3 linked regions of the Cricetulus griseus genome follow. The protein of the gene in region 2 interacts with the protein of the main gene of each other region in a biochemical or structural test. Links are inferred from orthologs where the notes say so. Each region holds a gene or a part of one and is shown on either strand. Other genes may lie near its edges.

What was found.
Region 1: the proteins of Pdzk1 (region 2) and Slc15a5 interact in a test that uses a peptide from one of them, tested with the Homo sapiens proteins (2 studies listed by IntAct, with this or other methods). The link is inferred for Cricetulus griseus from reciprocal best matches to the Homo sapiens genes PDZK1 and SLC15A5.
Region 3: the proteins of Pdzk1 (region 2) and Sdk2 interact in a test that uses a peptide from one of them, tested with the Homo sapiens proteins (2 studies listed by IntAct, with this or other methods). The link is inferred for Cricetulus griseus from reciprocal best matches to the Homo sapiens genes PDZK1 and SDK2.

Annotation. Positions count from the first base shown.
Region 1 is NC_048601.1:10,992,087-10,995,738, reverse strand, and holds part of Slc15a5 (solute carrier family 15 member 5), read right to left. Parts: intron 3,425-3,652; coding exon 3,201-3,424; intron 1-3,200. UniProt on the Homo sapiens protein: Proton oligopeptide cotransporter.
Region 2 is NW_023276806.1:59,644,536-59,648,287, forward strand, and holds the start of Pdzk1 (Na(+)/H(+) exchange regulatory cofactor NHE-RF3), read right to left. Parts: upstream 2,667-3,752; coding exon 2,457-2,666; intron 1,377-2,456; coding exon 1,127-1,376; intron 1-1,126. UniProt on the Homo sapiens protein: A scaffold protein that connects plasma membrane proteins and regulatory components, regulating their surface expression in epithelial cells apical domains.
Region 3 is NC_048600.1:126,489,708-126,493,359, reverse strand, and holds part of Sdk2 (protein sidekick-2), read left to right. Parts: intron 1-787; coding exon 788-1,141; 3' UTR 1,142-3,652.

The sequences.
Region 1 (3,652 bases), on a different chromosome or scaffold from region 2:
CACTGACCCCTTCTCCCTAGCCAGATGTGCAAATCCAGAGTTTGTAAGTAGTGTCAACGGAGTTGGTGCTCCGGCTAACAAACTGACCAATAGTTTATCTGCCCAGACATAGGGCTAGACTACAGTTTCCTATTGCTTCTCCCTGTCTGCATAGAACAGGTCCTGGTGATAATTTATCTCCCAGTCTTTAATCTGATACTTGGGACAACAAACAGGGGTTGCTTTGGTTGGGTCCAGACGGTGAGAGTGAAGGGTACGTTAGCTATTTTTGCCTCTGTAAAATGAAGAGACACACACACCCCAATCTGAGGGAAATGAACGATGGATGTGCGGTTTAAAAAGAGCTGGCAGCTGAATAAGTTTAAGACTGAGCGGCATCAGAGCAAGTTTCTGTTACTGATTTCAAATGAGAATTATTGTTAATAGGGATAAAGTTATTATCGGCATGAATCACAGACACTGAAACCTGTTAACTTAATAATGTTGCCAATGTGTCATTAATCTTTAGTGAGGCGATATTAATATATTGCCTAATCCAAAAAAAAAGGCTGTGGTGTCTTGAAAGCTTGAAATCATTTCTGCTTCTGCCTCAAGTTCTGCAATCCTCCCCCTTTTAAAATTTTAAATACTTTTATTTCACACAGGCCTCTGAGTATTATTCAGAAGTAATTGCCATCAATAGAGATTCATATTCACCTTTGAGTGGCCCTAATGTCAAATGGCAACCTTGTCAGCCTTAATATCAACATATTTTAAATATATGTCTTGGACCTGAAGGTCAATAATTGCTACTAAATTTAAAATATGGAATTCTGGGATGTTTTATTCCTGGTACTTTGATTGCCTTTGTGCTGGTGATTATTTTATCTGGAGGCAAAGTCTAGTCTAAACCTGTCCTGATGGAAGTTTCAACCTGGAGAAGGATGCTCTAACATTTTCTTTCAATTTCTAGCAAAGCATCACTCTATATAAGGTTGGTACCTATATAGTTTTTATTAAGATACTTAGTAAAGTGTCAGAGAGGTGTTCTGGGTAATTAGCCTTGACATCAGCCTTGAGTTAGAGCAACCATCCTGCCATATGCTAACAAGTCCAAGGTTAATTAATCATCTTTCTATCCACTGGAGCCTTAGACATTTATTTATTTTAAAGACAAGGTCTCAGTGTACAGCCCAGTATCCAGGCTAGCCTTGAACTTACTATATATCCCAGGCTGGCATTGAACCCATAGCAATTCTCCTGCTTCAGCTTCCCCAACGCAGTGCTGTTATACACATGAGTCATTACACTAGCTGCTAAGTCTCTGATGTGTGGAAATCACAGGGGCTGTGCAGACTTTCTGTGTGTTATTCTACGGGGGTAACATGAGACATTCAGAAACCAAGTTGGTGACATGGCTCAGCTGCTCTGGCGCTTGCCACTGACTGACCTTCACAGTCTGAGTGTGATCTCAGGAACCTACATGGCAACAGGTGAGAACTGAGTCCTGCACATTGTCTTTGACCCCGCCTCCCACCACCCCCAGGTCATGACAGGCATACCCCTCCCCCATCAAGTAAATGGAGATATTTGGGACTCATCTTTAAGAAGCTGTGGTGAACAATAAACAATCAATAAATACTTGAATTTTTTTCTCCAGTAAACTGGGCATTTATTTCCTTAAAATTTAGCTTATCAACTTTTTCTTACTTGCATAGTCCACTCATGTTCCTTTAAATAACACCTTGCCCATAAAAAGATAGTTCATTCAGTGTGTGTGTGTGTGTGTGTGTGTGTGTGTGTGTGTGTGTGGAGAGAGAGAGAGAGAGAGAGAGAGAGAGAGAGAGAGAGAGAGAGAGAAGTAGATGGTCACTGGATGGAAGATGAAAGGGACAGAGAGGTGTGGGAGGGGACAAAAGTAGGCAATGTGGGGTGTGACTAAAGCCAAATCTACCAAAATGTGTTGTACTTGTATCAAAATACAAAATACAGACTGTTTCACAGAAAAGACTCAAACTGAGTGTAGAGAGATACAACTTGCTGCTTCACCGTGAAGAAAAGGAGTTAGTAATGGGTGCTTTGAGTACAGAAGGTTTTAGGGCTAGCTATGGACTGCTCAGTAGTTCAGTGCTCATTACTTTCACAGGTCTAGGTGCCTCTCTAGCAATGACCATGAAAGTGAAGAAGGCTTCTGCTGTGTCTTTTTTGATGCCTGCTACTAGTTGTACAACCAGGAGTACTCTCCCAGTCTGCACAGTTCCAGTGCACTGTTTGGACCAGGGGTTAGCAAACCTTTCTGTCAGAGACCAGGTGATAACCCTGTCCACACCCACCCAGGGGTTCTTTGGCAGCTTTTCAGTCGCACACCTTTGCAAATGAGCAGCCACAGATATAACAAACCAATGGGCATGGCAAAGTTCTGATAAAACTTTATTTGTAAACATTGGAATTTAACTTCCATATAATTTTTAAGCACCACAAACTACTCTTTTGCTTTGCTTCCAGTGATGTAAAATATTAAAGCCATCATAACTTTCACTGTATACAAAAATGGGATGGCTGTAAGGATCGCTTGCCACACAGACTTGGTGGTCTGGGTTCAATCCCCAGCACCCACATGATGGTAGAAGAAGAAAACCAACTTCTGTTGTCCTCTGGCCTCTATTTGAGCACCAAGCCATGTTTGCATGTCTTCCCACACTGTGCACTTAGGCCCATGTAACAATGAAAAATACTGTAAACACAGGTCATGGACTGAGTTCAGCTTGGAGGCAGTAGTTTGCTGGGTGTATTGTTTACTGTTCTGTTGCTGGGACAAAACACTACAATCAGAAGTTACTTTAGAAAGAGAGGGTTTATTTTAACGCAGGTCTCTGGAGGGAGCACCGGTGAACAGTGGGGAGAACCTGGGAATAGTGGCAGGAGCAGGAAGCTGGCTAACCCCAGTTTCATCTACACACAGGAAACAGAGAAAGACCAGAAAATGGAGGGAGGCTGTGAACTCTCAAAAATCCGCTCCCAGTGATTTAATTCCTCCAGCAAGTCTCTGCCTCCTCAAAAACAGTCACCCACCAGTGGCAAATGTTCTAACACATGAACCTATGGTGGACTCTTCATATTGTCAGATACTTTGTCACAGCCATGAGAAAAGTGACTAATACAGGATGATAATGCACGAGGTGGTTTTGTTGTCGTTGGTGTGTGTCGGCTGTCTTCCCTACCTGCATAAGGCACATTCTGTAAACCAGCTGGAAACTGAAGAGTGGCAAAAGGGTGGAGAAGACAAGTTCTGTGTCTTCCTCTTGGAGTTCACTGTGACATCCACCGTGTTTTTGCACGGCACGGTCTGACCAACTTGCTCCATCTTGCCCAAGGTGGCAGTATGACAGGCAGTGTCTTTTCAGGGCTTTAAGCAACACACCAGCGACCGTCAGGAGGGAGCAATCTGCACAACATTGAAGACAGTGTGTGTTAGCTCAGACGTGGCTCATCAGCCCTCTCAGACATGAATCAAGACCCGACACTCCGAGGGACAAGAGGTGGTCAAAGCGGGGTAGAAGGCTTCCACGCCTGAGGGGTGGGATTCAAAGCCTGCTGACCGGGATAGCTTTGTGATGACCAGCCCAGGGTGCCTGACAGCCAGTGTAAAAAATGAAAAAAAGTAAGATCAAGG
Region 2 (3,752 bases):
TTACACAACTTTGTTCACAGTAACATTATTCATAATAGCCAGAACTTGGAAACAACCTAGTTGCCCCTCAACTGAAGAATGGATAAAGAAAATGTACATTTATACAATGGAGTATTACTCAGGATAAGAAACAATGGCATCCTAAAATTTGCAGGCAAATGGACAGAACTAGAAAAAAAACCCTGAGTGAGGTAACCCAGACCCAGAAATACAGATATAGTATTTACATACTCATAAACAGATACCAGACATAAAGATAACCAGCCTACAACCCACAACCCCAGAGAAGCTAGAACCTTCTTCTACAGATACAGATGGAAACAGATACAGAAATCCACAACTAACCATTGGGCCAAGCTCCTGGAGTACAATGAAAGTGAGGGAAGAGTGATAATATGAACAAAGGAGTCAAGACCATGGTGGGGAAACCCACAGAATCAGCTGACCCGAGCTAGCGAAAGATCACAATCTCTGGTCTGACAAATGGGGAAGCTGCATAAGACCGAACTAGACTCCCTTAACATAGGTGACAATGGTGCAGCTGGGGCAATAAATGAGGCCACTGGCAGTGGGGCCAAGATCTAACTCTAATGTACAAAATAACTTAGTGAGGCCCATTCTATATGGAGAGGTACCTTGCTCAACCTAGACACAGAGGTTGGGGGAGGTGCCTGGATCCTCCCTCAACGAGATGATGAACAATCTCAGTAGACTTCCTAGGGGAGGCCTTACCCTTCTCCGAGGTGCAGATGGGAGGTGGTGTGGGGGAAGTGGAGGGAACAGGAGGACAGGTGGGAGGGGAAACTGGGATTGGAATGTAAAACATAAATTAAGAAATTAAAAAAGAAAGAAAAAACAAGTCAAACAAAACAATGAAGAGGCATCCGTCCTTGAACCACTGGCCTCAAACAGCAGCCTGACAAACACTAGGGAAAGAGTCCCCCCACTCAGCCCTCGCTGCTGTCCAAAGTTGGATCTCTCTTTGTACAACTGCAGAGAAAGGATCCGTGCTGAAGACAAAGGAAGAGAGAGTGACATTGCTGTGGACATTCATAGCAACTGCAAAGACTGTCGTTACCAACACAGGGCTTCTGGAAGGCTAGAGCTCAGCCCACCCTAAGCTCACCTTGGATGGTTTTCAGAGAGAAGCCGAAGCTGTTGCCCTCCTTCACCAGGTAGCAGAGCCGTGGCTGGGCGCACGTCTCCACAGCTCCGTTCATCAAAGGGCTTGGTTTCTTATCATTTGAAGCCGGTTCCTTCTGGCTTTGACCCAAGTTGTTCAAGTCTACCTGTTTTCTTACAGCCTTCTCATAGGATTTTCCATCCAGAACCAGCAGAGTCACTGAATTCCCACTCTTTCTCACCAGATCCACCACCTTTGAAGAAAGGGGAGTGTTTAAAGGATACCTTGTCCTGTTAACCTCCCCCCCACACCACCCCGCCCCCATCAACCGTAGGAGGAAGATGTTTGTCATGTGCCTGGCAGCTGACCCAACACCCATACCCTAAGCAGAGGGGTACTGGACACCTTCACCCCAACACTCCCAATATATCAGGGAGGATCAGACTGGGCCCCAGCACTGTGGGAATCCAGAAAGCCCTGACAAGGATTGGTCTTTCCCAGATACGAATGCGCTAGAGCCGTGGTCCTCAACCTATGGGTCATGACCCCTTGGTGGATTGAACGACCCAGTTTTTTCATAGAGCTCATGTGTCAGATACCCTGCATATCAAATATTTACAATTCATACAGTAGCAAAATTACAGCTATGAAGTAGCAACAAAAATAATTTTATGGTATGGGTCACCACAACACGAGAAACTGTGTTAAAGGGTCGCAGCGTTAAGGAGCTTGAGAGAGGACAACAGGGCTTCTCAGGTCTAGGGGGTGGTGGCGTGGTGTAGTGAAAGGGGAACAATGCTGAAGTGAGGCAAGGCCTACCTCTCCCATGCGGTCACCACATGACAGTTAACAAGCTAAGTCACCTACACATGGCTGCCTCATCTGTGCGGTCACACATGCCTCACAGGCTTGTGCTGAGGGCTACAGCTTACTCAGATAAAATTGTCTAGCGTGGGCAAATGGGCAATGAACGTTTGACCTGACACTACCACAGTATAGCATTTTTTAATTGATTGCTTTTATAACAGGGCATAGGCCATGGCTCATGAACAAGGACACTTGTGGAAATCAGTTCTCTCCTTCCAACATGCAGGTCCCAGGGATTGAACTCAGCTCATCAGGCTTGGTAATAAGCACCTTTGCCCACTGAGTCACATAATAGGTTTTACAGTTCTCAGTTAATCATAAGCAATTAGACTAGTCACCATAAAATGTGATAGAACCTTGCCAGTGGTAGCCAGAAGAGAACCAAGCTCCACTGATCCCCAAAATCAGAGTGGGCAGAGATGTGGAGGCTGAAGAGGTGGCTGGAAGAACCCAAGTGTCTATTCACCTGTGCATGCTCTTCCTTGTCGACAAAGACACCATTGATCCTGAGAACTCTGTCCCCATCCAGGAGTCCTGCCTTCTCCGCTGGACTCCCCTTCTCAATCACCCGGACCAGGTGGCCATCAGTGTCCTTCTCAATGCGCAGGAAGAAGCCATAGTTCTGCCCCTCTTGTTTGGACAATTTACACTCTCTGGGATTGAAGGTGGAGGCCATTTCTGTGATGAAAAACAAATGGATAAATCCACAGGCAAGGAAATCTAGTTGGACGTTGAAACCCTGAGTCTCCATACTTGCTTTTCAAACCCTCGTGTTCAAATGAGTACTTAACACAGATGCTTTAACTTCAGTAGCTCCAACCAAATTCATCCTTGTTCCTTGTCCTAAGAGGTTATGTCTAAAAACACATGGTCCAGAAAGTTTAAGACGCCATATCTATCTTCTTTTAATTACCATGCAAAATAATAGGCTTCGTTTGTGCATGTGCTGGGTTTTTATTATTGGTGGTGATGGTGGTGGTGGTGGTGTGTGTGTGTGGGTGTGTGGGTGTGTGGGTGTGTGGGTGTGTGGGTGTGTGGGTGTGTGGGTGTGTGGGTGTGTGGGTGTGTGGGTGTGTGTGTGTGTGTGTGTGTGGAAATCAGAGGTGGTGTCAGGTGTGTTTCTCAATCCTTCACCATCTTATTAATGAGACAGATTCTCTCATAGAGATCTCAAATTCACAGATCTGATAAAGTAGCTGGCAAGCAGGTCCAGCAGTCCTCCATCTCTGCCTCTCCAGCATGAGGACTGCAGACACACACCACTATCTCCAGCCTTTTACAGGGTTTATGGGGATCCAAACTCCTGTCCTCCAAGCTTGCACAGTAAATACTGTCTTCCTGGCCCCCAGGAGTTTCATTGAGACATTCTCACACATGTGCTCTGGCTGTACCCACCTCCAAGAAGCACACTTTCACTCAAATATCTGATGAGCCTTTCTGATTCTAGATGTTGAGGATAAACCTGAGAATAAGAGGAGCTAATCACTAGGAAGATATCTTTTTCATAATTACATTTTTAAAACAAAATGTGATATGCCGTGCTGTGGAAGAACTGGGAGACATAGGATGACACAATGAGGTCTTTGGAAAGAAGGGATGGGCTGGGGAGAAATAAGACTAGCTCCCTGGAGAAATGACTTTCCAAGAAGTACAGGGCTAGTGGAGTCAGGTGAGGCAGGACAGGGCAAGGCAGGCTTCGAACAACTGGAGGGAGGGAAGGAGGGAGGGAGGGAGGGAGGGACAAAGCTAGCCCTCAGAGCTA
Region 3 (3,652 bases), on a different chromosome or scaffold from region 2:
GTGTTAGGGGGCAGGGGGACAGGGAGGTAGGGCTTAATAGATGCAGGGTTGCACTTTGGGGTGCAATATCTGGAGCTGGACAGACCTAAGGGCTCACAGTGTCACAGACTAAACAGTGCTGAATCGCTTGCTTTAAAATGGTTGACTTTAGCACAGTGGTGATGGCACACACCTTTAATCCCAGCACCTGGGAGGCAGAGGCAGGTAGATCACTATGAGTTCAAGAGTTCCAGGGCAGTCTCCAAAAGCTACAGAGAAACCCTGCCTCAAGAAACAAAACAAAACAAAAAGGTTTACTTATTAAGTGAATTTTATTTTCTACTGGGAAGAATAAAGGTTACGATTGGAGTGTATAGGTCTGTCTGGGTCAGTGTGTGGGTCTGAAATCCTAGCTATCATGAGGCTCAGCAGGAAGAATGAATACAAATTGAAGGCCAGCATAGCTAGTTCAAGGTCAGCCTAGGGAAACCCTGTCTCAAAAAGAAAAACTAGAAAGGGGGCCAGGTGTAGCTCAGTGGTAGAACACTTGCCTAGCATGAGTGAAGCCCTAGTTTCCAAGCTTTAATACCACAAAGGGAAAAGATGGCCTTCTTGCCCTGGATAACACATGATGGTAGACATCTCATCCTGGCTTTCCCCGAAGGGAGAGGGAAGGGGCATGAAGAGATGCTGTGGTAATGAGGGGTTGAGATGTTCAAGACCCAAGGCTTGAAAGAGGTGAAATGTTCTGTGCCTTGAGCCCTGACCTCACAAGGACACTGACACCCCTGATTCTCTGTCTTCCTAGGGAAGTGACAGTGAGTATGAAGTGGACACAAACCCTCAGAAAGCCCACTCCTTCGTCAACCACTACATCAGTGACCCCACATATTACAATTCTTGGCGGCGCCAGCAGAAAGGCATCTCTCGGGCCCAGGCCTACAGCTACACAGAGAGTGATTCTGGTGAACCTGACCACGTCACTGTCCCCAATAGCAACAGCACCCAGCAGGGCAGCCTTTTCCGGCCTAAGGCCAGCCGGACTCCAACGCCCCAAAACCCCCCAAACCCTCCAAGTCAGCAAAGCACCCTCTACCGTCCCCCCAGCAGCCTTGCCCCTGGCTCCCGGGCACCCATAGCAGGGTTCTCATCCTTTGTTTGACGTCAGAAGAGGAAAAAGAATGAAAAAAAATGACACCAAAATCCTCCTTTGCCACCTTCCCAAAACGCCTGCCAGAAAACACACAAGCAAACCCCACCAAGACATCGGATCAAATTTCACCTCCCAAGTTTATTTTTCCACAGATTCCAGGGCCAGCAAAGCCAGCGTGGAGGAGGAGCGGGGAGCCCACACGACTTGGACTTGTGTGACCTGCAACAGCTTCACATCCTTGGGGTCCATTGTGCAGTGTGGAGGGCTGGAGACCAGATAGTCTCACTCCTGCCCAGGACAGAGGGGCTCGGGACTCTGGAGAGAGGGGGCTATAAGGCAGGCAGGTGGGCTGGGAGATGGAGGCACTTCGAGACAGGCAGCCAACTTTACCTTTCCCACATGCGCTAGGTCTTGCTTTCCTTGCTCCTCTGCGAAAAGGATGGATGTCCCCAGAGGCGAAGCCTGCCTGTCATCTGTGGCTCTCCCTGGCAGGTGTCCCATGACCTTGCCAGCCTCCTGCCCTGTCTCAACACCCTCCAAGGGCTCATGGCCCTTATTCAACTTCTCCACCAAGCATTTGGCTTATTTGGGAAAAAAAAAAAAAAAGAAGAAGAAATCAAATGATGCAACTTCCTCATTCCTGAAAAAGAAAAAGAGAAAAAAAATTAATTGCGGATTCAAGGAAGAAAGCCAGAGGACTGGGAGAGAATCTTCACACAGCTGCATAACGGTTCCCTGCCTCCCGTTGCTTGAATTCACTTCCCTGAATGCAGATAAGGAGGGGTGACATCTGGGGAAATGGGACCTAAGATACTGGCTCCACACTAGGGCACGCTTCAGGGAGATGCCCTGCAGGAAGTCAGAGATGCAAGGATGAAGCCTTGACTGTTTTCTTCCCATCCAACTGCCCAACACTGAGAAAAAGGAAATGGGGTGGCAGGGGGCTCAGGATAGGAAGCTCAGCTCAACCCACCTAGCTGTGTAAGAAGGTATGCTTGTATGTACCACTTCCTCTGAGTAAACTCCTTCCTGCTAACCCATGCACCTGCCCCCATGAACCTGAAGGAAAAAGGGTCCAGGAGCCCCTCTCCAGAGGATACCTGGAGCTTCTTTGCCCAACAACGTTCTCAATTCAAGATCTGTGTGTCCCCCTGTGTGTCCCCTAACCCACAACACACAGGTCCCAAAGGGGCGGCCCAGTGCCTGGTCCTGAGGCTTTACAAAGAATCAAAGATCACTTGAATCCCTTCTAACATCTCCCAGGCTAGGTTCAGCGAAGCCAGAGCTGGGAAGGACTAGCCAGGAAGCTGTGTCCAAACTGGACACAGCAGCTGAGATGCATGGTCAGCCAGGAGAGGCAGGTCAGATGGGATCAAGGGACAAGAATAGCTGATGGGAGGGGATGCTGTTACTCCCGGGAATGTTCTGTAAAAAGCCACGGGGCCTGAACTTCACAGCAGCTTTGAGCTTCCAATGCAAGGGTTGTTTGTGGGAGGAGTTTTTCTGATGTCCTGGGTTGTCTGAGGTCCATGGGGACACCAACTAGCCCTTTAAGGCTCAGCCTACTGCTGGGAACGCATGGCTGCCTCCTTTAGAGGCTCCATTGGGGCATGTCCAAGTCAATTAAGGACCAGCCTTGCTGGGAGTATACACTGTAGTTACTGCTGGCCTTATTGAGAGGCCTAAGTGAGGAGCCTGTAGCTGTCCTCGGCAATCCCTAATTAGTCACTGCTAAATTCTCACTGGTCAGGGAAATCTGAGTCAAAGGCCTGAGTAAAGAACACATTCAGACTACTAAGTGTGCGGCCCCTCCCTACACACCTGCCCCCTGGGATATGTAAATGAGGAAATGTTGGAAGCTGGGTCAGCAGACAGGTGACCCAACGGCTGTTTGTGAACAATGGCTTTTCATAGTGACCTCTCCTAAGCAGGTCCTAAGGTTCCTTAAACCAGGAAGCACAGCCTTGTCCCCAAAGGACAACAGAGGGCTGAGACCCTGCCCCTCTGGGGAGTCAGGTTCCCAGGGCTACCTTGGACTTTGTCAGTCAGCTGGACCCCAACCCCTGCAGCATCTGGCCTCTCTCCGGAGCCACACATTCGCAGACGCTGCATGAGCTCACACTGCCATGCTTATTTTCGTCCCTCACTTCTTTTTTAAACAACATCTTTTTTCCTGTCTCCAGAGGCTTTAACCGTTTAAGGTTGTTCCCAGTTTGCATTAGGGAATTATTAGCCTAGCCCAGTTCCCAGTAAGGGAGCTTTATAGAGGAAGCAGGAATTGTTTAAAGAAAAAAAGAAAGCATTTGTGTGGATGTGTGTGGGTGTGTGTGTGTGTGTGTGTTGCACATAAGGACAATTTTTCTTTGCCTTTAATGAATTGCCCGGTGCACTGAGACTTCCCCTCCCCCTCCTGTGTGCTCGTTAGAACCCCTGCTGATGCCCAGGTGCTCATGCACAAGCATGCAAAGGTATGCACAGGACATACATCGGTGTGTGTTAGCAAAGGGCCTCTTGCCGTGC